Linked DNA regions of Caenorhabditis elegans. The protein of the gene in region 4 purifies or fractionates together with the protein of the main gene of each other region. This does not show direct contact. Each region holds a gene or a part of one and is shown on either strand. Other genes may lie near its edges. The genes, in order: let-418, chd-3, blmp-1 and lin-40.

The links.
Region 1: the proteins of lin-40 (region 4) and let-418 purify together in Caenorhabditis elegans (affinity purification with western blotting, with the first as the bait; one study listed by BioGRID). This does not show direct contact.
Region 2: the proteins of lin-40 (region 4) and chd-3 purify together in Caenorhabditis elegans (affinity purification with western blotting, with the first as the bait; one study listed by BioGRID). This does not show direct contact.
Region 3: the proteins of lin-40 (region 4) and blmp-1 purify together in Caenorhabditis elegans (affinity purification with western blotting, with the first as the bait; one study listed by BioGRID). This does not show direct contact.

Annotation. Positions count from the first base shown.
Region 1 is NC_003283.11:5,824,950-5,832,853, forward strand, and holds let-418 (Protein let-418), read left to right. Parts: upstream 1-1,883; 5' UTR 1,884-1,911; coding exon 1,912-2,241; intron 2,242-2,310; coding exon 2,311-3,303; intron 3,304-3,351; coding exon 3,352-4,430; intron 4,431-4,481; coding exon 4,482-5,811; intron 5,812-5,882; coding exon 5,883-7,228; intron 7,229-7,279; coding exon 7,280-7,551; intron 7,552-7,605; coding exon 7,606-7,745; 3' UTR 7,746-7,882; downstream 7,883-7,904. UniProt on the Caenorhabditis elegans protein: Part of a NuRD (Nucleosome Remodeling and Deacetylase) complex which is implicated in the synMuv B pathway that negatively regulates specification of vulval cell fate.
Region 2 is NC_003284.9:12,846,597-12,854,129, reverse strand, and holds the start of chd-3 (Chromodomain-helicase-DNA-binding protein 3 homolog), read left to right. Parts: upstream 1-1,528; 5' UTR 1,529-1,546; coding exon 1,547-1,882; intron 1,883-1,936; coding exon 1,937-2,959; intron 2,960-3,025; coding exon 3,026-3,457; intron 3,458-3,506; coding exon 3,507-4,159; intron 4,160-4,205; coding exon 4,206-5,535; intron 5,536-5,805; coding exon 5,806-7,076; intron 7,077-7,125; coding exon 7,126-7,370; intron 7,371-7,438; coding exon 7,439-7,512; 3' UTR 7,513-7,533. UniProt on the Caenorhabditis elegans protein: ATP-dependent chromatin-remodeling factor that has a role in notch signaling-dependent vulval cell fate determination. May also have a role in pharyngeal precursor cell specification.
Region 3 is NC_003279.8:10,407,351-10,415,279, forward strand, and holds blmp-1 (B lymphocyte-induced maturation protein 1 homolog), read left to right. Parts: upstream 1-1,951; 5' UTR 1,952-2,008; coding exon 2,009-2,186; intron 2,187-2,519; coding exon 2,520-2,614; intron 2,615-2,875; coding exon 2,876-3,743; intron 3,744-4,253; coding exon 4,254-4,600; intron 4,601-4,982; coding exon 4,983-5,077; intron 5,078-5,127; coding exon 5,128-5,596; intron 5,597-6,011; coding exon 6,012-6,059; intron 6,060-6,142; coding exon 6,143-6,496; 3' UTR 6,497-7,423; downstream 7,424-7,929. UniProt on the Caenorhabditis elegans protein: Transcription factor which binds to enhancer elements in the promoter region of genes. Regulates the expression of the transcription factor bed-3 to control vulval development.
Region 4 is NC_003283.11:3,703,348-3,708,001, reverse strand, and holds the start of lin-40 (DIOX_N domain-containing protein), read right to left. Parts: upstream 3,008-4,654; 5' UTR 2,991-3,007; coding exon 2,862-2,990; intron 2,795-2,861; coding exon 2,686-2,794; intron 2,625-2,685; coding exon 607-2,624; intron 1-606.

The DNA.
Region 1 (7,904 bases), 2.1 Mb from region 4:
CGATGACACATGCCTGAAAATGATGTTGGTTATATTTCCTTTGTACAATTTGTTTTTGGGAACTTGGGGATCTTGCTTTAAAATATTCAGAATTAGTCGATTTCTGTAAAAGCCAAATTACCAAATTTGTGGTAAGTTGACAGATATATCATTTTAAAGTTTGGACATTTGAGTACTCTATTATGTCAACACAAAATTCTGAGAATGCGTATTTCACAACATATTTGAAAGTATCTCATAGCGAAAACTACAGTAACACTTTAACTGATTACTGTAGCTCTTATGGCGATTTACGGGCTCTATTTCAAATGCCTTGTGCAATACGCATTCTCAAAATTCTGTGTTCCCGTAATATCACTGTTTTCGAACATTATTTTCCAAATTACACTTTTACAATTTTGTAGAAAATCTAGCAGTTTGAGAAATTTTTTCAGAAGTTAAGATATAATTTCTAGAAGCTTATAATAGGGCGAATCTAAAGCGTTATACTGTTAATTCGAAATATTAAATGTTATTCAATCATTTAAAATTGCCACGTTTTCAGAAGGTCAAGGTAAATTTGTTTATCCTTGATTTAAACATTATGAACATTTTATTTCTTTTAAATTATTTTTAACTCGCATAAACACGTGTTTTGAACTTCTAGATCTTTTTCTTCACTGCCGTGCATCGATTTGAATCATTTTCCGCTTTTGCGCTTTCAAGGGAGGTCCATTTATGCGAATGGGTCTCGCCGCGCTAAGTGCATTGATTTTAAAATGTTGTGTGTGCGTCTTAACGTTTACTGTCCCGTTCTTTTTTTTTTAGCTTTTTCCCTGTTTTCTAAGGTTTTCCTAGTTTCTGAAAAGAATTTGTATATCTTTGTATAAGAATTTGTATATACATGCTGATTCAATTAAAAATTAGTAAAGTTCCGAAGAAGAAACCTATTTTCGGGAGCTATGCAGGTGCGCTCCATTGCCAGCAGATGCGTTTTGTTCAAATGTTTTCTTTTTCATTTTTTTTTGGCTCGCTTTTTGGATTCGCGTTTCCTCTCAATTTCCGCAATTTGATATTTCTAAGTATACAAGTATATTTCTAAAATCGTCATAAATATTTGCTCGTAATTTTCCCAATTTTAATTCAAAATTTTAATTCTATCAGGACGGTTCACAGTTTTTACCTGATTTGAATCCTGAAATAGATCTAATTTACTAGTTTTTTTTTTAATCCGTAATCCAACGTGTTTTTAATTTTCTGTGAACAACATAATTCTCAACTCAAATTAGTAAAGGGACATGCCACGTATTAATAATTTTCGTTGCGGGAAACACGACGCTGCATTTGGTCACTCTTACGCGCGAAGACGGGTCATTCGAATTTCCATCACTCTCCTCTCGTCTCTCTTTCTCTGACCACCGTCCCAACGAGCTGTGTCCCCGTTCTGCAATGTCCCCGCAGTGTCTCGTCAAATGGGACATATGGGGACATGAAATTGTCCCGTTTCGAATCAATATTTGTTTGAAATATGTTTTTGAATACGGCTATTTTTTCTAACTTTTCTTGTAATAATTGCATTTTCTCGATGGTAGATTTTAGAAAACTTGAAACGTAGGTTGTAAAATAAATTTTAAAAAATTTAAAATAGCTTGACGAGCTTAAATTTAAATTCCTACTTTAGGAATTTAATATTTTCAAAATTTTCTACGTTTTTTAGAAAAAATTAAGGCTTAATCTATCAGCCCAAAATTTACACTCAACTCTGTGTGTTATTTCGTCGCCGTGTTTGCAGACTTTTCACACTTTCAAATTTTGCTGATTTGCATTCGAGCTTTCTAATTTGTTCTCTTTATAATGTCCTTCTTGCAATTATTTATGTCTTACTTATATTAATCAATTTTCAGAAATTGTATTTCTCCTGAGAATTCAACAATGTCAACTGAAGAAGATCCGTCTTTAGTGGACGCGGAAGAATCAATGGAAGAGGGTTCTGTCACTCAAGACGCAACTGAAGAAACAGAAGAAGAGGAAGAACAAGAGCAAGGCGATGAGGCTGGACCATCTGAGCGAAAGCGTTCTTCTAGAAAGAAAGGCGGAAAGGGAGGCAAAAAAGGATCCAAAAAGAGTGCTGCCGCAGCTAGCAAGGTTGAGATTCCTGATCCGTATAATTCGACAAGTGAAGAAGTTTGTGCTGCTATCGGATTGACAGACGTCGAATTTGATTATGATGAAGAGGAGTTTCAAGGAATTTCTAATCTGAAGGTGATTATTCAAAATTTATTTTTTAAATCTCGATTTCTGTTTTCCTCCAATTAAACATCTTTTTTACAGACTTTCTCCTCAATCATCAAGCCACAAATACTGGAGGCAAACCCCGGAACCAACGTATCCAAGATGTACCCGATGTTCCAAGTCAAATATAAAGAGTATCAAGATCACATGGCTGCCCAAGGAAAACCTGTTCAAAAACAAGCTAGAGGTTCAAAGACTCCAGCAGTTTCCACACCCGTCATCCCTCCACGATCAGCTCCAACGAAGACTCGTTCTGCAAGGAGAAAGCGTCGAGATTCCGATGCTCCTGATAGTGATCAAGAGTTTGAGGCATTTATTAAGCAACAAGAACAACTGGAGGACGATTTGGTAAAAGACAAGGAAGATGCTCGTATCAAACGTGCAGCGGAAAGAGAAGAGAAGAAAAAAGGAGCATTGGAAGCTGCTCGTGCCGCTAAAAAAGCAAAATTAGAAAAGGGCGAAGAAGCTGAAAATAATGACTACTGTGAGGAGTGCAAGCAAGATGGAGAACTTCTTCTTTGTGACACCTGTCCCCGCGCTTACCATACAGTCTGTATTGATGAAAATATGGAAGAACCACCAGAGGGTGATTGGAGTTGTGCTCATTGTATCGAACATGGCCCAGAAGTAGTTAAAGAAGAACCGGCGAAGCAAAACGATGAATTCTGCAAGATCTGCAAAGAAACTGAGAATCTTCTGCTTTGTGATAGTTGTGTATGCTCATTCCACGCATATTGTATTGATCCTCCACTTACCGAAGTTCCGAAAGAAGAAACATGGTCGTGCCCACGGTGCGAGACGGTTAAGCCGGAACACAAAATCGAAAAAATCCTTTGCTGGAGATGGAAGGAAATCCCGTATCCAGAACCTCTCGAAGCTGGGAAAGAGGCTTCGAGTGACGATGCGATGCTCAAACCACCACGGAAAATGGAACCAAGACGTGAGCGTGAATTCTTCGTGAAATGGAAGTATTTATCATACTGGCAGTGTTCTTGGGTCTCCGAAATGCTGTTGGAAGTTCATTTCCGTATGGTGAGTTTTAAGTGATGAAGTCCATTTGACTAATGTTTATTTTTCCAGCTTATATTGCTATATTGGCGCAAAAATGATTCCGATGCTCCTCCAGAATTTGAAGAATCCGTTACGTCTCGTCATCATTCTGATAATGATCCTTATAAATTGCGCGAGCGGTTCTACCAGTATGGTATCAAACCGGAATGGATGCAAATTCATCGTATTATCAATCATCAATCATATGCAAAGTCGCAGCAGGATTACCTTGTTAAGTGGAAGGAGCTCAGCTATGATCAAGCCACTTGGGAACGAGATGATTCTAATATTGCCAATTACGAAGAAGCAATCATTAAATACTGGCAACATCGTGAGAGCAAATTAAATGAGGATATTCCTAAAAATGTGCAGAAGATGATTGCTAAACATCGCGAAGCTAAAGGTCTTCCTCCAAAAGAAGACGAAAAGAAAAAGAAGAAGCGTGAGAAGATTGACATCCGTAAAAAATATGAAGTTCAGCCCGACTACGTTACGGAAACCGGAGGAAAACTTCATCCATATCAACTGGAAGGACTTAACTGGCTTCGTCATTGTTGGTCCAACGGAACTGATGCGATTCTCGCTGATGAAATGGGTCTTGGGAAGACTGTTCAATCGCTTACTTTCTTATACAGTCTCATGAAGGAAGGCCATTGCAAAGGACCATTTTTGATTGCCGCTCCTCTATCAACTATTATCAATTGGGAGCGTGAGGCTGAACAATGGTGTCCTGATTTCTATGTGGTCACTTATGTTGGTCTTAGAGATGCTCGTGTTGTGCTCCGAGAACATGAGTTTTCTTTCGTTGAAGGTGCCGTTCGATCCGGACCGAAGGCTTCAAAAATGAAGACGACAGAGAATATGAAGTTCCACGTGTTGCTCACTTCTTATGAGACTATCAATATGGATAAAACTATACTTTCTTCCATTGAATGGGGAGCTCTTGTTGTTGATGAGGCTCATCGGTTAAAGAATAATCAGTCGTTGTTCTTCAAAAATCTCAATGAATATACTATTCATTATCGCGTACTTCTCACCGGAACTCCACTTCAAAACAATTTAGAAGAGCTCTTCCATCTCCTCAATTTCTTGTCCAAAGAACGTTTCAAGTAAGTTTCTGAATTTTTGTGTATTTTATTTTATTAATTGCATTTTTTCAGTCAGCTCGAGGCTTTCACTGCCGAATTCAATGAGATTTCCAAAGAGGATCAAATTGAAAAACTTCATAACTTGCTCGGACCTCACATGCTTCGCCGTCTCAAAGCTGATGTGTTGACTGGCATGCCATCGAAATCAGAATTAATTGTTCGAGTTGAACTGAGTGCTATGCAGAAAAAATGGTATAAAAATATTCTGACTCGCAATTTTGATGCATTGAATGTGAAGAATGGAGGAACTCAAATGTCATTGATGAACGTCCTTATGGAATTGAAGAAATGTTGTAATCATCCATATCTTTTTGTGAAGGCAGAGTTGGAGGCTCCGAAAGAGAAAAACGGAATGTATGAAGGAACGGCGCTCATCAAGAATTCCGGAAAGTTTGTTCTTCTTCAAAAAATGTTGAGAAAGCTGAAGGATGGTGGCCACCGAGTGCTTATCTTCTCACAAATGACAAGGATGCTGGACATAATGGAAGATTTATGTGAATATGAAGGATACAGATATGAAAGAATAGATGGAAGTATCATGGGACAAATGAGACAAGATGCTATCGATCGTTACAATGCTCCTGGAGCTCAACAATTTATTTTCTTGCTCTCCACTCGAGCTGGAGGTCTTGGTATCAATCTGGCAACTGCTGATACGGTTATCATATATGATTCTGATTGGAATCCTCACAATGATATTCAAGCTTTCTCTCGTGCACATCGTCTCGGACAGAAGCATAAAGTTATGATTTATCGTTTTGTAACAAAGAAATCTGTCGAAGAAAAAATCACTTCAGTTGCCAAGAAGAAGATGCTTTTGAATCACTTGGTTGTACGTGCAGGATTGGGAGGAAAAGAAGGAAAGACAATGAGCAAGACTGAGCTGGACGATGTGCTTCGATGGGGAACCGAAGAGTTATTCAGTGAGGATCTTGATGCTGCCGAAGGCGAAGGCTCGGAGAAGAAAGGTGCTGCCGCACAAGAAATTGTTTGGGATGATGCAGCTGTAGATGCTCTTCTCGATCGCAGTAACAAAGAAGAGACTCCAGCAGGAGAAGATGGCGAAGAAAAAGCTGAATGGCAAAACGAATATCTAAGCTCGTTCAAGGTGGCCAGCTATCAGACAAAAGAGACTGAAGGACAAGAAGAAGAGGAGGAAGAGGAAACGGAAGTGATTAAAGAAGATGAGAAAGAACCAGATCCAGATTATTGGGAGAAGCTGCTCAAGCATCACTACGAACAGGACAGGGAAATCGAATTGCAAAAGCTTGGAAAGGGAAAACGTGTTCGCAAACAAATCAACTATGCCAGTGAGAATATGGGAACTGATTGGAGCAAGCAGGTTTGTTTTTTTTCTGATTAATTGGGTTTTTCTGATTAATTTCTGATTAAACATTTAATGATTTTTTTCAGAACCAAACCCAAGATGATGACGATGATAACGAGTCGTACCGTGGTTCGGACAATGGCGACGGCCTGAACTCTGATGAAGATGATTACGATGAGAAGAAAAAGCGGCGTCGTGATGAAGAAAAAATGCCTCCACTCATGGCTAAAGTCAATGGACAAGTTGAGATTCTTGGTTTCAATCCACGTCAACGCAAGGCGTTCTACGGGGCTGTTATGCGCTGGGGAATGCCTCCACAAGATTCTCATCAATCTCAATGGCTTGTTCGAGATCTGAGAAACAAATCGGAAAAAGTCTTCCGAGCTTATGCTTCACTGTTCATGCGACATCTCTGTGAGCCTGGAGCTGATGGTCATGATACCTTTAATGATGGAGTTCCAAGAGAAGGTCTTAATCGTCAGCATGTTCTTGGCCGAATCGGATTGCTGAGTTTAGTTCGGCGGAAGGTTCAAGAATTTGAGCAATATAATGGCCAATGGTCTATGCCTGAAATACAAGACGAAGTTCTCGCTAAAGCTGCCAATGGTTCGGCACAAGGATCTTCAAGAAGTACTCCGAAACCAAAAGAAGAGCCGAAGGAAGAACCAATGGAAAAGGAAGATGCTACTGAAACAGTTAACGGAGCTACATCAGAGCCAGCTACAGATGCTGAGAGTGAACAAAACGCTCCTGTTGACGAACCAATGGATACAGATGAAGCCAAAGAACCGAAAGAAGAACCAATTGAAACCGAGAAACCAAGAGCAGCCCGTCCATCATTCAAGTTCAACATTTGTGACGGTGGATTCACTGAACTTCACTCTTTGTGGGCCAATGAAGAGAAAGTTGCAAGAAACGGAAAAGAATATGAAATCTGGTACCGCAGACACGACTATTGGCTTTTAGCTGGTGTTGTTGTACACGGATATGGACGTTTCCAAGCTAATTTCAATGACATCATCAATGATCCCAGATTCTCAGTTCTCAATGAGCCATTCAAGGAAGTTGGCGCTGAGGCAACAGGATCTGACATCAAAGCCAAGTTTATGCAACGTCGTTTCAAACTTATTGAACAGTCCCTTGTGATTGAGGAGCAACTTCGTCGCGCTGCACACGCCAATCGTCACTTGCAGCCGGATAATGTTGGACCATTGGCTCAACGTTTTGCGGATTTAGAGAATATTGCTGAATCTCAAGCTAATATCGCCAAAGAAAGTTCTGCTGGAAATCGTAATGCGAATGCCGTTCTACACAAAACATTGGTTCAGCTCGACGAAATACTTTCCGATATGAAGGCCGACGTGTCTAGACTTCCATCTACTTTTACACAGTTAGCGACTGTCACCGAACGTCTCAACATGACCGAGAGACAGTAAGTTTTAACTCGTAAAAGCTTCAGTCAATATATGTATATATATTTCAGAATTCTTTCGCGACTGACCACAAAAGACGAGGACGCGATAGCCAACCGTAGCGTACTTCCACCACCAGGACCATTTGTAACTCCAATACTTCGCCAGCAGATGGATGGCATTCAACCAAAGTTTGCAGCTCTTTACAGTAAATTCATGTCTGAAAATGGAGAAAGGATGGAAGAGGATGAACCAGTAGAGGCAGAAGAGGAAGAAGGTGTAAAACAAGAACCAGATGATGAGACTCAAGATAGCGCCGAAGCTCCGCCAGTTCTTAGTGCAGGTTAGTACTAATTCATATGGATCTTAAAATAACTCAATGTATTTCTATTTCCAGAAGTGAATTCCGACGATAGCAACGATGTTCCATCTACTTCCGCTGCTGCTGCTGTCAGTTCTGAAACAGCTGCCGACGCCGAACCAGCTTCCGCCGAAGATCAAGCTCCAACAGATGAGCCAGAACCAATGGAAACTTGAATGTCTTTTTAATTTTATTGGGTTTTACTGTATTTTTTCAAACTTTAAACCATTATATTATTTATTGTTCTCTTTTTAGTTGCATCAATTGAAATGCAATTCAAATAATTGCGTCATGAATCTGTGTAAACGTTTAATCCTGATCTTTTCGTCTTAACT
Region 2 (7,533 bases), on a different chromosome or scaffold from region 4:
TTCAGAAATTCAATAAAATATATATTCACATGGTTTCAAATTTTTGTAAAATGTGGTTTGAAGATGGCTCTCTCAATACACATTCCGTTGTGTATTTTTTTTCTGTATACGTGCGTAGTACGTAGTACACATTCAATTTTTTCACGATCGAGTAGCACGTTTATTGTTAACAGTGGTTCTACCGTTTTTATGCTTAGGGATCTGAAAAACTTAATATTAAATTGACGAAATCGACAAAATCGACGAACTGCTTAAAATGATCGGCATTAATTTGCTTCCTTCACTAATTTTGAAGACTACCGTTCTAATTCACTCTTCGATCAGAACCTGGATGAGACTACCAAAAAAAGAGTGCTGCGAATGCGTTCCTATCTATTCGTAGTTTCATTTACAAGGGCACTCGTACCGCTGTGTGCAATGCGCACGTCCTAAAACACCTGTCCTTCGTGCCTATCGATCGTTGGTTAGGTCTCTCATGGTCACTCCATCTTTCGTGTGAGACACGTCGGATGAGAAGACTCCACCCATCTGGTTTCTCTCGTTCTAGCTAATCTGCGGAAAATATTCGTCCGTGCTCGCTTCGGCTCCAGCCTCATTTAATCCACATTGATTTTTCATTCGACGCCTCTCTCCATTGCGAGACTGCAATTTTGTATTTGATAAAAATTTTATTTCCTTGCTCTACTACATCATATTTTCTATGGTTTTCATGATTTTCCCTATTAGCCATTGAGATCCTGTATCATGTTTCAAAATTTGAATAAAAAATTCGATCATTCGACCTTTGTCCTATTTAAAACTTTCCAAAATAAATTGTGACTTTCTTATCAGTTTTCGTCCTCTCTCCACAAAGCTCATCAGTTATTCTGAACAAACGTGAGCTTCTTTCGAACTTTTATGCCCGTTATGTCTTCGTCTCGTTGCATATCTCTTTCTCTCATTTTTTTTTATCTGACCGAGTTCGCAGTAAACAAACACGCCAGCGCGCGCGCGTCTCTGACCCTCACACTAGATGTCCCCGCAATGACGCAACGAGTGGGACACAATGAGACACCCCTGGCGGGACAATCCCCTTATTCAGATTTTTAATGTGTGTCTTCATTAATGTCTTCCAACTAGTCTGGATAATTTTGAAATCCGAAAAACGGGTTTTCTTGAATCTTATTTTCACACTGTGTCATCATCCTTGCGCTATGAGAAAAAATTTTTGTGGAGCATCTTTGAATCTTTTAAAAATAAAAAAAAAATCAACAAATCAATCCGGTCTCTCACAAAATATTTGGCAAAGTAATTCAACTCACAGCCACAGACCGTTCTCAAGATGGAAATTTGGTATTTTTTGGAACTATGCATTTGCGCTCCATTGCTAAGTCCGCATAAAATTTAGGATTTCGGCGGTAAACTTTGTACATAAAATAGATAGGCTCAGTTATTTTGTTGCTTGGTCATTCAATTCTGGTTTTCTTATTCTTCGCTTATTCTCCTCGTAAAAATATAAAGACGAATTTAATAACATTACTTCTTTCAGTAATTCCCATAAAGAACAATGTCAGACGATCAACACGAATCAATCGACGGTGATGAGACAATGGAGGAGGATTCCATGCTAGCAGAAGGTCATGAGGATGGAGAAGAAGATGTCGGCGAAGATGAGGAGGAGGTGGAAACTGAAGAATCTCAGGGAGTTCCGACCACTTCTGAGAAGAAAAAACCACCACCAAAAAAGAAGAAGGGCGGAAAGAAATCTTCGAAAAAGAAAAACAACTGTGATTACCCGGATCCGTATAAGTCGACAAGCGCAGAAATCAGTGCAGCAATAGGATTGACCGACGTTGATGTGGACTATGAGCAGGAGGAATTTCAGTCGATTACCAATTTGAAAGTGAGTTTTTTAATGTACGATTTCTTGTCCTAAACAAAAACTTTAAATTTTCAGAACTTTTCGAGTCTTGTCAAGCCATACATTTTAAAAGTGAATCCCGGCACAAACGTCACAAAGATGTACCCTCTATTTCAAGTAAAATACAAAGAATTTCAAGATCACATGACAGCACACGGCAAATCAATTCAAAAGCAACAAAGAGCGAAGTTTGTTCCGGTACCCGTTCCGGTGACACCTCAAGAGAAGATCATTCCACAGAAGACTCGTTCTTCTGCTCGCAGAAAGCGTCGTGACGGATCAGATGGTGAAGGTGGCGGTCACGACAGTGATCAGGAGTTTGAGGCCTTGATCAAACAACATGAAAAGCAACAAGATGAAGCTGAGAAGGGGAAAGAAGAAGCTCGCATTAATCGGGCTGCAGCAAAAGTGGACAAACGTAAGGCCGCATTGGAATCGGCTCGAGCATCGAAACGAGCACGTAAAGAGCAAGGAGTGGTGGAAGAAAACCATCAAGAGAACTGTGAAGTTTGCAATCAAGATGGCGAGCTTATGCTCTGTGATACTTGTACTCGTGCATACCACGTTGCATGCATTGATGAGAACATGGAGCAGCCACCAGAAGGAGATTGGAGCTGTCCCCATTGTGAAGAGCACGGTCCGGATGTTTTGATAGTTGAAGAAGAACCAGCTAAGGCAAACATGGACTATTGTCGAATTTGCAAAGAAACCTCAAATATTCTTCTATGCGACACCTGTCCAAGCTCTTATCACGCCTATTGCATTGATCCTCCACTTACCGAAATTCCCGAAGGCGAATGGTCCTGTCCGCGTTGCATTATTCCCGAGCCGGCTCAAAGAATTGAGAAGATTCTCAGTTGGAGATGGAAGGAAATCAGCTATCCGGAGCCATTGGAATGTAAAGAAGGAGAGGAAGCAAGCAAAGACGACGTGTTCCTTAAACCTCCCCGCAAAATGGAGCCTCGTCGAGAGCGGGAGTTCTTTGTCAAGTGGAAGTATTTGGCTTACTGGCAGTGCGAGTGGCTTTCGGAGACGTTGATGGATGTCTACTTCACAGCGGTATGTTTGTGTCAGGAAAATTTAAAAAAAAAACTTTTGTTTATTAAATATGATTATTTATTTCAGCTTGTTCGCATGTACTGGCGGAAAGTCGATTCCGAGAATCCACCGATTTTCGAGGAGTCTACACTCTCACGCCATCATTCCGATCATGATCCATACAAACTACGCGAGCGTTTCTACCAATATGGTGTTAAGCCTGAATGGATGCAAATTCATCGTATTATCAATCACTTGTCATATGCAAAGTCTCAACAAGACTACCTAGTCAAGTGGAAGGAGCTATCTTATGAGCACGCGACCTGGGAAAGAGATGATACGGATATTGCCAACTATGAAGATGCGATCATCAAGTATTGGCATCACAGAGAACGCATGCTGAACGACGAAGTTCCTAGAAATGTGCAGAAGATGATTGCTAAGCAGCGTGAAGCTAAGGGACTGGGACCTAAGGAGGATGAAGTCACCTCGAGAAGAAAGAAACGAGAAAAAATTGATGTAAGTTCAATAAATAAGTTTTCAAAATTCACCATTTCGTTTTTTTCAGATCCTCAAAAAATACGAAGTGCAACCAGACTTTATTTCGGAAACTGGGGGAAATCTTCATCCATACCAATTGGAAGGAATCAACTGGCTGCGACATTGTTGGTCGAATGGAACTGATGCCATTCTTGCCGACGAAATGGGTCTCGGAAAAACCGTCCAATCTCTGACATTCCTGTACACACTCATGAAAGAAGGGCATACCAAGGGGCCATTCCTCATTGCTGCTCCACTGTCTACTATCATCAATTGGGAACGTGAAGCCGAGCTTTGGTGTCCAGACTTCTACGTCGTTACCTATGTTGGAGATCGTGAATCGCGCATGGTCATTCGTGAGCATGAGTTTTCATTTGTGGATGGAGCCGTCAGAGGAGGGCCAAAAGTTTCCAAGATTAAGACATTGGAAAACTTGAAATTCCACGTTCTTCTCACTTCATATGAATGTATTAATATGGATAAGGCAATTCTTTCATCCATTGACTGGGCTGCACTAGTCGTTGATGAAGCTCATCGTTTGAAAAATAATCAATCGACATTCTTCAAAAACCTCAGAGAATACAACATTCAGTACCGTGTGCTTCTCACTGGAACTCCACTTCAAAACAATTTAGAGGAGCTGTTTCATCTTCTCAATTTCCTCGCACCAGACCGCTTTAAGTAAGTTTTTAACTAGATAGGGTTTTTTATATCGTTAATTTTTCAGCCAGCTTGAAAGCTTCACAGCAGAGTTTTCCGAAATCTCCAAAGAAGATCAAATTGAGAAACTTCACAACCTGCTCGGCCCACACATGCTTCGTCGTCTTAAAGCTGACGTCCTTACTGGAATGCCATCCAAGCAAGAGTTGATTGTCCGTGTAGAGCTCAGTGCGATGCAGAAGAAATACTACAAGAACATTCTCACTCGCAATTTTGACGCGTTGAATGTGAAGAATGGTGGAACCCAGATGTCGTTGATCAACATCATTATGGAACTTAAAAAATGCTGCAACCATCCGTATCTCTTTATGAAAGCGTGTTTGGAAGCTCCAAAACTTAAAAATGGAATGTACGAGGGAAGTGCGCTTATCAAAAATGCCGGAAAATTTGTCCTTCTGCAAAAAATGTTGCGAAAGCTGAAGGATGGAGGTCATCGCGTGCTGATCTTTTCACAGATGACGATGATGTTGGATATTCTTGAAGACTTTTGTGATGTTGAAGGTTACAAGTATGAACGTATTGATGGAAGTATCACTGGTCAACAGAGACAAGACGCAATCGATAGATATAATGCTCCGGGAGCGAAACAGTTTGTCTTCTTGCTCTCTACTCGTGCTGGAGGATTGGGTATCAACTTGGCTACTGCTGATACTGTCATCATTTATGACTCTGACTGGAATCCTCACAATGATATCCAAGCTTTCTCACGTGCTCACCGTCTTGGTCAGAAACACAAAGTAATGATTTACCGCTTTGTCACAAAAGGATCAGTTGAAGAAAGAATCACATCAGTTGCCAAGAAAAAGATGCTTCTCACTCACTTGGTAGTCCGTGCTGGTCTGGGAGCTAAAGATGGGAAGAGCATGAGCAAAACTGAACTTGACGACGTTCTACGTTGGGGTACCGAAGAGCTTTTCAAAGAAGAAGAAGCTCCAGTTGAGGGTGCAGACGGAGAGGGAACCAGTTCTAAAAAGCCGAACGAACAAGAAATTGTTTGGGATGACGCTGCAGTCGATTTCCTGTTGGACCGAAACAAGGAGGAAGAAGGTCAGGACGGTGAAAAGAAGGAACATTGGACTAATGAATATTTGAGCTCTTTCAAAGTAGCCACTTATAATACGAAAGAAGCAGACGACGCAGATGATGATGAAGATGAGACAGAAGTCATCAAAGAGGGAACGGAAGAGCAAGATCCAAACTATTGGGAGAAGTTGCTCAAGCATCATTATGAACAAGACCAAGAAACTGAGCTACAGAAGTTGGGAAAAGGAAAGCGAGTACGTCGCCAGGTCAATTATGCCAGTGAAAATATGGGACAAGACTGGTCTGCTCAAAATGTGAGTTGTTGTAGTTTCTTTTTTTTTCCATAAATGATAGCCAACGATATTTGTAGTTTTTTTGCTGCCAAGCTCTCACTCACAACTGCGGCGGCAAATACGCTCTGTTGATAAAAAAGCGCATGCCACATGAAACCACAAAAATATTTGCTGACCAAATTTTGATTAGTTCTGAAAACCAAAATAGTGAGGGCATGTTATTAAATTTATAATTGAAATGCTTATAAAGGAAGATCAATGTAGTTGTTTTCTTGATTTTTAAATTTTTAGAACCAACAACAAGAGGAAGATGACGGCTCAGAATACGGATCCGACAATGGGGAACTACTCCAAACTGACGAAGACTATGAGGAAAGGCGCCGACGTCGCGAGGAACGATCCGAAAAGCTTCCACCACTCCTTGCCAAGGTCAATGGCCAAATTGAGGTTCTCGGATTCAACCCACGTCAACGAAAAGCCTTTTACAATGCTGTCATGCGTTGGGGAATGCCACCACAAGACCTCACCCAATCATCATGGCAAGTTCGAGATCTCAGGAACAAATCGGAAAAAGTGTTCAAGGCGTACTCATCCCTCTTCATGCGCCATCTGTGTGAGCCGGTTGTGGATAACAGTGACTCTTTTATGGATGGTGTTCCACGTGAAGGTCTCAATCGTCAAGCGGTTCTGAGTCGTATCGGCTTGATGTCGATTCTGCGCAAAAAAGTGCAAGAGTTTGAAAAATTCAATGGAGAATGGTCAATGCCAGAGACACGTGAAAAGATGTTGGCCACCGCAGCTCAAGCATCAGTTTCGAATTTACCTGGAATGATTAAGATCAAAGAAGAGCCAATTGATATTGATGAGACTCCGATGGATGTTGATCAGTCCAATATAACTAAAACAGAAGAACTTGCCAGTGAAGTGAAAGTCGAGGAGGAACCCAAAGCTCCTCGTTTACCATACAAATTTAATATTTGCGATGGAGGATACACTGAGCTTCATAGTCTTTGGATTAATGAAGAGAAGGTGGCTCGCAATGGAAAAGAGTATGAGATTTGGCATCGCCGGCACGATTTCTGGCTTTTGGCAGCTGTGGCAGTCTATGGCTACGGACGTTATCAAATTAACTTCCAAGATATTATGAATGATCCGAAATTTTCGATTGTAAATGAGCCATTCAAACAAACTGGTGCAGATCCTGCCACTAATTTTGCTGACGTGAAGAACAAGTTTTTGGCTCGTCGTTTCAAACTTCTCGAGCAATCACTGGTCATTGAAGAACAACTTCGTCGTGCAGCTCACATCAACAAACAACAGTCTCCTGACCAAGTTGGCCAATTGGCTCAGCATTTCTCGGAGCTGGAGCACACTGCTGATGCTCACGTCAATATTGCAAGAGAAAGCAACAATGGAAACAGAAATGCTAACGCGATTCTTCACAAGTGCCTTGCCCAACTCGATGATTTGCTTTCCGACTTGAAAACCGACGTTGCAAGACTGCCAGCAACAATCTCTCAAGTTCGGCCAGTCACCGAAAGACTTCAAATGAGTGAACGACAGTGAGTGATTAACGAGAAATATATAAAACTGGAATTTTATTCTTTGCAGAATTCTATCGCGCTTAGTAGTCGCCAAGGATCCCGATGCTGCTCCAAGCAAGCCAGCACTCCCACCAAGCGGACCATTCATCACACCTTTGTTCAATCAAAACTTCACCACTATCCAGCCAAAGTTTCCTTCTCTATTTGACTGTAATTTGTCGCCTGATGATGAACCTATTGATATTGAAGGATCAATATCTGCAGCTGTCGCCGAGGCATCCCGAGCATCATCAATTGCTGCAACGAAGGATGGTTAGTGGCTAATGTTCAAACTTCAAGTTTGAGATGACAAAATTAGCAATACATTTTATTGATTTCAGAGCCAATGGATACATCTGACAAGGATATTCCCTCAACGTCAGCAGCTGCTGGTTCGTCCTATCCGAGATATTAAGCCACGTGGATTTTAACTTTG
Region 3 (7,929 bases), on a different chromosome or scaffold from region 4:
TTCGAATGCCAAAAGAAACCAAAAGCTTTTGCCCCCTCTCCGACGGCGCGTTCCCTTCTTTTCTCCTTCTTCCAACAAACATTGGCTAAAAGAGACGATCCTCTCCTCGAATCACTTTGGCGGATCTCTACAGGCCCGATATGCAAGAACAGGTTCAAGGGGAAGAAGAAGCCTCTCTGTGTCGTCGTCGTCGTCGTCCAGCAGCGTCCATTATGCAAGAGAGTGCGCGAACAAATGGGGGGAAACCGGTCCCTTTCTCTGATTCTCTGATCCTCTCTTCAATCAGTGATCTCTCTTTGCTGTGTACAGCCATACCTCACACTCTTCGGAAGAGAAGAAGACCACCGTCGAATCCGAATCCATGGATGAATGGTCGTTGCGCGCGCGCGAGCGACAATTCTCGGGCGGCGTCATGACTGACCGTGACTCTGCATCTCTGAAATTTCAATACTATTTATTATCCTTTTCTACCGTAATCCATTCTCTCACTCTCTTTGCTTCCAATTCGTCCCATCCAACAGTAGTAGCAGCAGCTATTTTCTCGCTTTTCCCCCTTTTGTACAAACTCTTATTATTCATCTCCTCCTTTTTATGAACGATCTTCCTTTACAATTTTTTTAGTACATTTCAAATTTGATTTCATATTTGCCAAGCTACCGTATTCTTTTCCCAAATCCCCACATTTTTTTGTTTGAAAGTTGTCGGCTCCTTTTCTGAATTCTGAATCACACGTGTTTCAAATGAAAAAGACAAACAGATCTGACCCCGCCTCGCTCTTTTTCTTCTAAACTTTTAACTTTTTTTTCTCACCCGTCACTTTTTTTGAAAGTTGCCAATTTAGGTTTTTTATACAAGCTCTGGAATTTGTGCCCGCGGTGATGGGAATTTTCGAGGTTTATGAACAAAAATTATGTGAACAAGCTTGAATTTTTCTGAAATATTAAAACAATCTTCAAATGAACTTGTTTGGTTTTCAGTTCTCCGGCACATATTCCTGAGCAACTCCCGTAGGCTTGAAATTAAAAAATTAAGTTTTTTCAAACTTAGCCAATTGTTTTAGTTTTTATTGTTTAATACGAATTATTGGGAGTATCTAAAGCAATTTGATGCAAAATCCCCACAAGTCATAGTCCGTCTTTAAGGGTATTCCCTATATTAGTATTAAATCGGACTGCTCACCTTTTCAGCTAATATCTTGGTTTTTTGTTTAGATATCCGAAATTGCACAACTGCAGAAATATTGAAAATTAGTCCGCAAATGTTTTTATAGTTGACAGTTTTTTGATACAACTAAAGAGAACCGAGATATAAGCCGCGAAAGTTGAGCAACGAGGTTACTTGTTGGATCGACAATATGCATACCGTATTCCCTTGACATCTTAAAAAAGTTTCAATTCAGAAGCTCAACTCTGAAATTAACTTGGAATTGAAAAAAATTGAGCTATTGAACTACTGCCTCTTCAGATTTTTCTTGAGACGTTGACGCCTGACTTATGCCTGTCTACCTCTTATATTCTGTAATTTAGGTTTTCGTTCAGTTCTTGTTGACTTTTTCAGTAGGCAGTATTGAAGATAGGTAGGCAGGCGCACATCCCGGACGCCTTAATAAGTTCCTCCTTTAAAAAAAACATTAATCTATTATTGCACAACCTCCCATCATCTAACCCACCTACCGTAATCACCAACTTTCCCTTTTTGCTCTTCTTAACTCTGCACTCTCCTCGGTCACCCAGCTATTTCACCCCAATTCTTCGAGTTCTTCCTTATCAAGGTCTTTTTGACAATTTCGGCGCCGTTTTCCTGATTCTCGCCCTCGCCTTTTCCCTCTCCGTGCTCTATTACTCTCTCGCTCTTGTTTTGAAACTTTTATTTGAATTGGTTCACTTTTAATTTGTCTTTCTTTTTGCCAAAAATTATTTTTATTTTACCAGAATCATGTTTTCAATTTCAGAAAATAAATCTCTCTTCTCTTTTCCTTCGATCTCATTTTAAACAAAACCTGTAAAAAATGGGTCAAGGAAGTGGGGATGACGGTGTTCCGCCGGCACCGTTCTCTTCGGCTGCTGCGGCAGCTCACTCACCACCTCATTCTCCCCTTTCTGTCGGCGTTTCTTCTGCTTCATCTGCCACGTCATCATCTTCCACACCGCCATCATCCACGTCACCTGCCGGAGTTTCAGCGTCAGGTAAGTTGTGATAGGATACTGTAACTCGGCCCCCTTGGCAGCCATCCGTGATCTACATTTGCGAAGAAATCGAATCAGCCAAATTCGTTTTTCTTCCCTCCACTTCTTTTTTTTCCTTTTCGGATTTCTTATCAAATTTCAATGCCGCCAAGCTTATCATCGCCGCGCTATCACTTATCATCAAAATGTTCTTTTCCCTCTTGAACTAGACGTGGACACCATATAAAAAAGAACAAATGAAAGTGAAAACAAAAAAAACAATCACTTCAAAATTTAAACCGAAAGAAAAAACTGTGAAGCTGTCATTTTATACAATGAACATTTTAATTTCAGGTGCGAGAAACGTTGAAACTGATTGGAAGCAGTCGGGAGATGAGAATCTTGCCGAATTATGTATATTTCATGTTCCAGACAAATCTGTTAGTTTGGTGAGTTCGTATTTTATAGTCTATAAAGTTTTAAAAACCGAGCCTGCCTGCCTACATGTATATTTCTCTAAAAAAATGGTTTTGGAACAAAAAGTTCTCTAGAAATTTGGAAAGTTCAAAACGTTCCATAGAAAGTTTGAGATGTGCACTAAAAAGTTGCTTTTTTGCCGACCGTTTTTTTGCCAGGACTACAAAAATAGTATGAGAAAGTTAATATACATCGAAAAAAACCATTTCAATTTTAATTCCATTTATTTTCAGCCAAATCCAAAGCGAGCAGAATGCACACTTCCTATGAACCTAATTCTCAAGTCCTCCTCAAAAAATCGAAAGAAATCGTCAATATGGTCATCTGATCATATTCCGAGAGGAGTCCGATTTGGCCCGCTCGTTGGAGAAATTCGTTTGGTAGATGTTGACACAGCACTTGTATGTCCTGCTGAAGCATCAATGGCTGGAGGTGGTCCAGCTCAAGAAGATGTTCCATTTGATGAAGCTCCGGAAGAGTGGAAGATCTATTCTCCATCAGGTGGCAGATTGAATAAAACGATTTGTGTGAAAGATGATGCGAGATCAAATTGGATGAAATACGTGGCAGCTGCTGAAGAGGAAGATTTTCAGAATCTTGTTGCTGCACAAATTGGAAATGATATCTACTTTTACACAGTTAAAAAGATTGAAGCAAATACTGAATTATCATTTTGGTTCAGCAGGGACTACGCAAGGAAATTAAATTATTCAACAAGACCATACGTAAGAGTTCGAAGGCCAGCTACTCAACTGATTCCATCTGCACCACCAGCTTCTGCATCAACTGCAATTGCGAGTTTAGCAGAAACAATTGTGGCAATTGATTATTCAGTTAAAAAACTCATTGAATCACCCATTGATACACTCTCTACTGATGCTTCTTCTGCAAGTGACGAAGAAATGATTGATGTTGAAGAGCAGGAGAGCTGTACACGGCCTGTTGCAGAAGTCACACGGCCTAATGTTATCCAGAATCCAGTTGTGAGGCCTGTTGCAACCAAAGTCAATAATTTCCCGGGAATACCCGTTCGACTTGGCAATTTTTATGCAAGTCCGTTGGTGGATTTTAAAGAGTTCATGAGGAAATCCCTTCAATTAAGTGAGTTTATTAATCCCACTCTGAATCTCTGATAAGCTGAAATTGAAAATTTTGAAAATGTAACACTTTTTTTTGAAGTTTTTTTCACTGGAGATGCAAAAAGTTGCTTAACATTTTGTTAACAAAACTTATCAGAAACAGCTAAAAACGCCATATGTCCTTGATGGGGATTAAGCTTCTGTCGACAAACAAGATACATTTGTATACTTTTTTTTTGTTTTTAACACATCAACTTAAGTTTAACAATATTTTCAGTTTGTTAAAATTGTTTCCTCAATCAATTAAATTATCAAATTGTTTATGCTTTACTATACTTTTTAATTAGTGATCTACCTGTTTTCGGATTTTCGGCAGCTTTTATCCCGTGCGGATGTGGTTTTATCAACGGAAAAGTTTTCAAAATACATGTTGTATGTTTATTCATAATTTTATAGCTTACTGTTAACTGCTAAGTTAAAAACAAACTGGGGCGTCCTAAAAAGTCCTGAAAACAATTGAACCCTATTTCAGAACTAGTTGATACCTCAATGTTTGTGTCCCCTGTTGCTCAAACAACAGCCGCAATAACTGCCACTGGTGGAAGATCCGGCCAGCCGATTGATGTGCAGCCAGTACTTGCAGCAACTGCAGGAGCTCATTTTGGAAACTATGCAGCAATTTATGGGAGTCAAGATTTCCAGCATGAGCTATCAAAACCTCTGTACACATCTGCGTCTCCAGCATTCGGAGGTGGTGGTGGTATGGGTGGAGGATTTGGAATGGGTGGAAGTGCCCATACTTCTTCATTTCATCAACTTCCATTTGTTAATCATTCGTCTTCATCACACAATGATTCATCATTTAATGGAGTTCCAAATGTAAGTTTTACCAAAGAAGATTTTTAATTTGTTGAACTTGATGGTTGATGGGAAAATATTTTGAAACATTCTTTTTAAAAAACAGTTGATATTTAAATGTTTAATACTAGATTTTTTAATTTTTTTAAATTATATATTTTTTATAATTTTTGACCCTGCCTCTATTTATCTCTACCTTTTATCTCTACCTTTTCTATGTTGATCCCAATAAAATTAGCAAAGTTTTGATACATAAATCAATTGATTACCGGGTGCTTTTTTGTAAATCTTTTTCAAATCAGGGCGCAAGGAGGGCGATTCACACGCCTAGACCTGGTAAAATGTCTAGTTATTCCTTTTCATATTTTCTACATGAAAATAAATTTAAATTAAAATTTTTCAGTACGTGCAACAACAGGAAAATGGAAAAACGAGATACGCTTGCAAAGACTGCAACAAAACATTCGGACAGCTTTCGAATCTTAAAGTTCATGTCAGGTTAGAACTTTTCTTATTTTCCAATTATTTTTTTACTTTCAACATTTCAGAACGCACACCGGCGAACGTCCATTCAAATGTGAAATTTGCACAAAAGAGTTCACACAGCTTGCTCATCTTCAGAAGCATCATCTTGTTCATACCGGAGAACGTCCTCATCGCTGTGATATTTGTGATAAGCGATTCTCGTCGACTTCTAATTTAAAAACTCATCTTCGACTTCACAATGGTCAGAAGCCGTATACGTGTGATGTTTGTGATGCCAAGTTCACTCAATACGTTCATCTAAGACTTCATAAACGTCTGCATGCAAACGAAAGACCGTATAGTTGTGGAACATGTGGAAAGAAATATATTTCACCGAGTGGATTGAGAACTCATTGGAAAACAACTACATGTAAAGAAGAGGATATGAAAGACTCGATGAGGGATGATTTAATGGATATCAAAGGCGAAATCGATGAAGGATCAATGTCAGGGTCGGGTTATGGAAATCTGGGAATCTTTGAAAATACACTGGTAAGTAATGAAGATTATATCGAGTTATACATGTTCCGCCGTTTTTTACAAAATGGAAACTAAGTTTTAAAAAGTTGATCAAATTTTTAATACTGTCCAAGTTTAAGTCGACAACGTTTCCTCTAATAGTATTGACCCACTTTTCCTAACTTTGTAAGTTCATATCTTAGTTGCCTATGGTTTTATCGAAAAATTTCTAACTGAGAAAATATTGAATTTGTGAAACATTTGGAAAAATATCTTTAGTGGACCGAGATATGAGATGTCAAAGTAGAGTAAGTGGGCGCAAGACTAATAGAAGAAATACGGTCGTGAATAAATTTTTTTGCTCGAGTTTTAGTTTTCGAGCTTTAGAAGAAATCAAGTAAATTACTAACAACAGCTTTGCTTCTGCTTACATTTTCACTGCTTTCAGAACTCCGAACTCAAGCGGCCACTTATGCCAATCGAAACCATTTATAGTGTAAGCTTTTATATTCGGCTTCATCATGCATACAAATAAATATTTCTTATCTCACTTTCCCATTCTCATCCTACAATTTTCAGAAATACAATCTTCCCAACGCCTCCCTCCTCGGTCAAGGTCCAAGTGGAATGCAAGAACAACAGGCTCCACCACCAACATCTCAACAGCAGCAACACATGATGTATGGAAACACAATGGGACATATGGGACAAGGATCCCATCTTCAGGGGCCACCACCACCTCCACAACATTTCCAAATGGATCATAGTGGAATGCAGAATGGAGGAGGTATTCCACATCAACATCAACTTATTCAAGGAGGTCCATCATCTGGATCTGGTCAACAGCAACATCCACAACATAATGGGATTCATAGGCTTCCTGATTTGAAAAATCCCCTACTTCCAAGCCTCGGATTGCCGCATTATCCATAATTATCATATTTATAACTTTATGAAAACACTACCCGTCTCCCACAATCCAGTCATATCATTTGTACTTGAGCTTCTGTGTAGGAATTAATGCCTCCACTGCGTGCCTCACAGCACTGCCTATTTTGGTAGAATAACGCAAATTTCATCTGAAAAAAGTTAATGTGAGAATGTAGATATAGAAAGATGTTTGTTAAGTTCGAAAATTCATTTTATTTCTATATCCGGATATTTTTCTATATTTTAACATTAATTTTTTATTGAAAAAATAATTTAACCAAAATTAGCAGTTTTTGGAGTGCCTGTAGGCAGGCGTGTAGGCATTTTATACCTACACAAGAGCCCCTGCTTGCTTCTCCAGCATCTTAGCATTTTCATTTTTTACTATGCTACTCAAATATTTTCAGATCCCTTTTACCAGTTTGTTTATAAGCCAGGTAGAAAACAATTAGATCAATTTTTTTCGCAAAATCTCAAATTGTTCTTACACCTTCCTGCCCCTTTCTCCATCCTCCCATTCCAGAACGAGTCTCTCATAATATTAATTGTATTCAAAAACTTCAAATTCAAATAATTCCACAAAGAACCTGAGTTAAAGTTCAAATAGTTCGTTTCTCAAAATTATCAGATTTAATATAATTATTTTTTTGAAATCTTCCATATACACCGCCTAAACCTATATTATCTTTTCATTCTCTCATTGTCTCTTGCTTTATCAGTCCCCTTTCATTCTTATCACTGTCAAAATTTTCTATTTTTTATTCAACAATTTCCATCAAAATCTTCCGGCATTTCAACACACCTATCTGTGATCATACTTTCATTATATTTTTGCAATTTCTTTCTAGAAGTTGTTTCTATTTTCTAACTTTTTCAAAACAATATCTTGTCTAATTTTGTATGTATATATATAAACTTTGAAAACTTGATAGGATTACATACATACTAATTTTCTCGAAAATTTCCGGCAAATCGGCAAACCGGTGAGGTGCCAAATTTGCCGGAAAAACGGCAAATCGGTAAGTTGCCACAATTGAAATTTCCGGCAAATCGGCAAACCGGCAAAGTGCCGAATTTGTCGAAATTGAAAATTTCCAGCAAATCGGCAAATCGGTAAGTTGCCAGAATTGAAATTTCCGGCAAATCGGCAAATTGACGGAATTGAAATTTCCCGATTTGCCGTAATTGAAAATTTCCGGCAAATCGGCAAACCGGCAACTTGCCGGAATTGAAATTTCCCGATTTGCCGTAATTGAAAATTTCCGGCAAATCGGCAAACCGGCAACTTGCCGGAATTGAAATTTCCCGATTTGCCGGAATTGAAACTTCCGGCAAATCGGCAAACCGACAGCTTGCCGGAATTGAAATTTCCCGATTTGCCGAAATTGAAATTTCCGGCAAATCGGCAAACCGGCAAAGTGCCGAATTTGTCGAAA
Region 4 (4,654 bases):
AAAATGCAGTTTTTTAAAGATTTTGGCTCAGTTTTCTATATAATGAGAGTTACGACCAATCAGCGATTAGCTCCGCCCATTTTTCAACCAATCAGAGGAATGTGCGGCGCTGGTTGGTTTGAAATTGGGCGGAGCGAATCGCTGATTGGTCGCAGTTCTCATTTTGAAGAGAATTAGGCCTATATTGAGCTTTTTACCATTTTGGCCGAGTTTCCTCCAAAATAAGACCTGCGACCAATCAGCGATTAGCTCCGCCCATTTTTCAACCAATCAGAGGAATGCGCGGCGCTGGTTGGTTTGAAATTGGGCGGAGCGAATCGCTGATTGGTCGCAGTTCTCATTTTGAAGAGAATTAAGCCTAAATTGAGCTTTTTACCATTTTGGCCGAGTTTCCTCCGAAATTAGACCTGCGACCAATCAGCGATTAGCTCCACCCATTTTCCAACCAATCATAGGAATGTGCGGTATTCGACGACGCTGATTGGTTGAAAAATGGGCGGAGCGAATCATTTATTGGTCGTAGCTCATTTTGGTGGGAATTTGGCCAAAATTGAGTTTTTCAATTTTTTTTTTTGATTTTTCGTGCAATTTTCAACCAATCCTTACCCTGGGCGTTGCGACCACTTGCGGCGTCGTTTGCGCCTGCCGCTGTTGCTGCTGCTGAATCTGTTGTTGAATTTGTGCCTGGATTTTCTGAGCGAAATTCTTCTGTAGCTGTAGAAATTGCTCCTGGGTGATTTGGCCACGTGCCAGCGCCTCCTTTGCCACATTCAACAAATTCTGCTTATCACCACTGTTCAGCGTCATGAGCATGTTGGCGGCGGCAGCGCGCTGCTGCTGCTGTTGTTGTGGAGTCAACGTGTTCACCGCCGCCGTGGCAGCCGCCTTCTGAGAAGCTGGAGTTCCATTTGAGGCCGCTGGCGTCGGCGCTACCGGCTCCACCGGTGGCGGCCGCGTCTTGTCGAACCGCTCGAGCTCGTGCTTCTGATTGAGCCCGGCGAACTTCTTCCACTGAATCCAACACGTCGAGCACAGAACCTTCTTATCGCCGACACCTCCCCACTGATACCAGTTGAGAGCGTCCAGCGTCCCGCAATTCTCACACGGATTGTCGTTGTTCATCAGCGTCGTCTGGCTAGTGTTGTACGGAAGAATCGAGGCGGCGATCGGCTTGTTGAACGGCGGAATGTAGATGTTGGTGAACTTCTCGTCCGTCGTCGTCGAGCTTCCACCACCCGCCGATGGCTTGTTCTTCTTGCGATCTGTGTATCGATTGGAGGCCTTCATAAGGTAATAGTACTCGACAATGTCCCGAATCGACTTCCACGGAAGGTACTCGGCGCGGATCTCATTGAAATCCTTGCCCACCTTATCCAGCGCATCCTCGAACAGATTCATCTCGGGCGTCGACCACTCTTCCAGCTGATCCCGACACAAAATCGGTCCGCCAAGGGTCTTAGTCTGCAGGCCGCTTGAATCATCGACCTGGCACGGGTACGTGTCTCGAGAGGCCACTGGGACCAGGTACTTGACAGCCTGCCCGACATCATAGTTGGCCTGATGAAGGATCGCGTGGGCGTGGAAGATGGTGACGTCACGGGAGGCGAAGGCGGCGGCTAGCTGAAGAGTCGGAAGCTTCGGCGCGGAAGCTCCATCGATGGCTCGGGCGAATAGGCCGACTGATCGGGCCACAATCATGTACTGATCAATGTCACGGTCGGTGAGAGCGTGGTGCGGGTGCCAGACGAGGACTTCACCTACTTCACCTTCGGAATCGGTGGTGGTAGCTTCCTCTTCCACCTTGGTCTCTTCCTTTTCCTCATTCTTCAGCTCCGGCATCTCCTCATCCTCGGCGATCGTCAACCCATCATTCTCAGTGTCCTCCTCGGCTTCAGCCTTCAACTTTGCCTCCTCTTCCTCCTTCTTAACCTTCTCGGCCAGCACCTTCGCCTCCTTCGCCTCCCGATCGGCGGGCTCCATCCACTCATCCACCACCGCCTGATACTTCTCGCCAACCCTAATAGCACCCTTATCAGCCAGCAAAGTCTGCGCATTCGGGTCATAGACAAGGGAATGATAGAAGGTATCATCCAGAGGCAGGTAGTTCTGAGCCTCTTCACCATCTCCCAGAAGAACGACTCGACACTTTCCACGAATCGCCGCTGCTGGAAGGATCTCCGATTGCCTCGTCATAAAGATCTCATGCTGTCGGAGCTTCAGCCTCTGATCCGGGGTGAGCTTGTCGACTCCGAGCGGAAGGCCTCCATCACCCCAGTCAATGAGCTTCGTGGCTTCTGCTTCGGCAGTCTCCTTGAGGTTTTTCGCGTTTTCCTTGGCTTCTTTTTCTTCTTTTTTGTCCTTTGCGGTCGCTGCTGGAGCATCCGACGCCGATGGCTCCTCAGTCGAGCTGGTTCTTCCCTGCCCAACCGGGGCCGGGCATTCTTCGTCCTCTTCCATTTTCTCTGCCACGTCATCAGTATCTTCCTTCACTTTTGTTTCAGACGTCTCCGCAGAAGCTTCGGTGGCTTCTGGAGCAGCTTCTGGAGCAGCTTCAGAAGCTCCATTGACAACGATAAATCCTTTTGTGGTAAAATTCTCGGGCTTCTTCTTATCCACTTCGTAATCTGAAAAAAATTGAATTGAATTTTAATATTTTCAAATAAAGTAAGCTGGGGAAAAGCTCACAATTATCGAATCGCCTCTGCGCTTGATCGGCAATTTTCAGCAAATGTTGTGGAATGTCACGTCGTCGGAGGTAGACGACGCATCGCGCATCCACGCCGCCCTTTTCTGTCTGAAAATTGAGAAATTTTGGGCTTTTTCAGGCTTTTGGGGCTTTTTTTCCAGCCAACTAATCTAACCTTGACAAGCTCCTCGATTTTGCGGATCTGATATGGAGCGTCGGTGGCCGACGTGTCGTCGAAATAGACAAAATCGCCGACGGCGTACGTGACTCGAGTTGATGTTGACGACAACGATGATGAGCTCATCGTGACCCGTTAAAGCTCTGCAAAAATTGGAGGATTTTTTGGGGAAAAGTCGAATTAGTCGAAAAGTCGAAAATTCGAGAAATTACATTAAAAAAATGTTTTTATTTTGCTATCAAAATTATTTAAATTTCTCCATTTTCGCCCAAAAAGCACAAAATTTCGCGATTTCTGCTTTAAAAATGGTCTCGAAGCGACAATTTTTTGTTAAATGTGGTGCGAAAAAGTGCGCGCCTTTAAAGAGTACTGTAATTTCAAACTTTTCGTTTCTGCGGAATTTTTCTTATTGATTTTTCGAAGGCTTTCTCACCGATTTGTTCAAATTCAGAAAAACTAGGAATAATCGATTGAAATTCCGGGGAAACGAAAATTTGAAATTATAGTACTCTTTAAAGGCGCACACCTGTTCGAATTTAACAAAAAATTGTCGTGTCGAGACCCGGTATCGTATTTTTGGAGCAAAAAGCGCAATATTTCGCGTCCGGATAATAACCAAAATACTAAAAATGAGGAGACAGTGCGAAAACTCTAAATTCGGTAAAAAAAGCATTAATTTTTTGAAATTTTTTAGCTTTAAGCGGAAAATAGAGAAATTCGAATAATTTTTGAGTGCACAAAATCGATATCATCTGAAAAGTGAAAAAATAATTAAAAATTATCCGCATTTTTTGCGCTATTAAAATTTTTTTTGAAAAAGAACAAAATAGATTTTTTAAAATTGGAAATTAATTAGTTTTTTAAAAATTAAATTAAATTTCAAAAAAAATCCAGAAAACGGTCCTTCTCTTTCGGATAAATCGCCGTGACAACTAGAAAAAAGGATAGATTCAGACAACGAGAGACATGGAGAGACGCAGAAACAAGAGGAACGTCCAGCAGCAGCAGCAGCAGAGGGAGAGACGAAGACATAGGTGGGGAGGGGTCACTCGGAAGAATGGTTAAAGCGTCGGAAATAGTACTGAGACCACGGAGACGCAGACGGACGGGCAGAATGGAGACGAGTGAGAGAGCGAGAGATATAAAGAAAAGAGAGAAGAGGCTGCAGGAAGGATGCTCCCCCGACTTATTAAAGGTACCATTACGGGAACACAAAATTCTAGTGAATGCATATTGCACAACATATTTGACGCGCAAAATATCTCGTAGCGAAAAAGAAAACTACAGTAATCCTTTAAATTACTACTGTAGTGCTTGTGTCGATTTACGAAAATCAAGCCCGTAAATCGACACCAGCGCGCACAGTAGTCATTTAAAGAATTACTGTAGTTTTCGCTACGAGATATTTTGCTCGTCAAATGTGTTGTGCAGCATTCTCAGAATTTAGTGAACCCATTTAAAACCGCTTGGAATCAAAAATTTTGCCGGCAAAATCGGAAATTTGCCGATTTTCAGGAATTTTTCGTATTTTTTGATAAATTTCCCGTTGTTTTTTTATGATTTTTATGCCGAAATTTATGAATTTCAGCTAAATTGCCAATTTTGACGTAAAAATCATAAAAACTTACTGAAAACGTAGCAAAAAATTCTAAAAATGCTAGAAAATCGGCAAAATTTCAGATTTTCCTATTTTTTTGAAATGCAATTGAAAAAATCCAGTTCAAAACAGTCCTACAAGGCTGAAAAGGGCAAAATAGGCTTGTAAGTCGGGACGATCGAGAAAATATCGA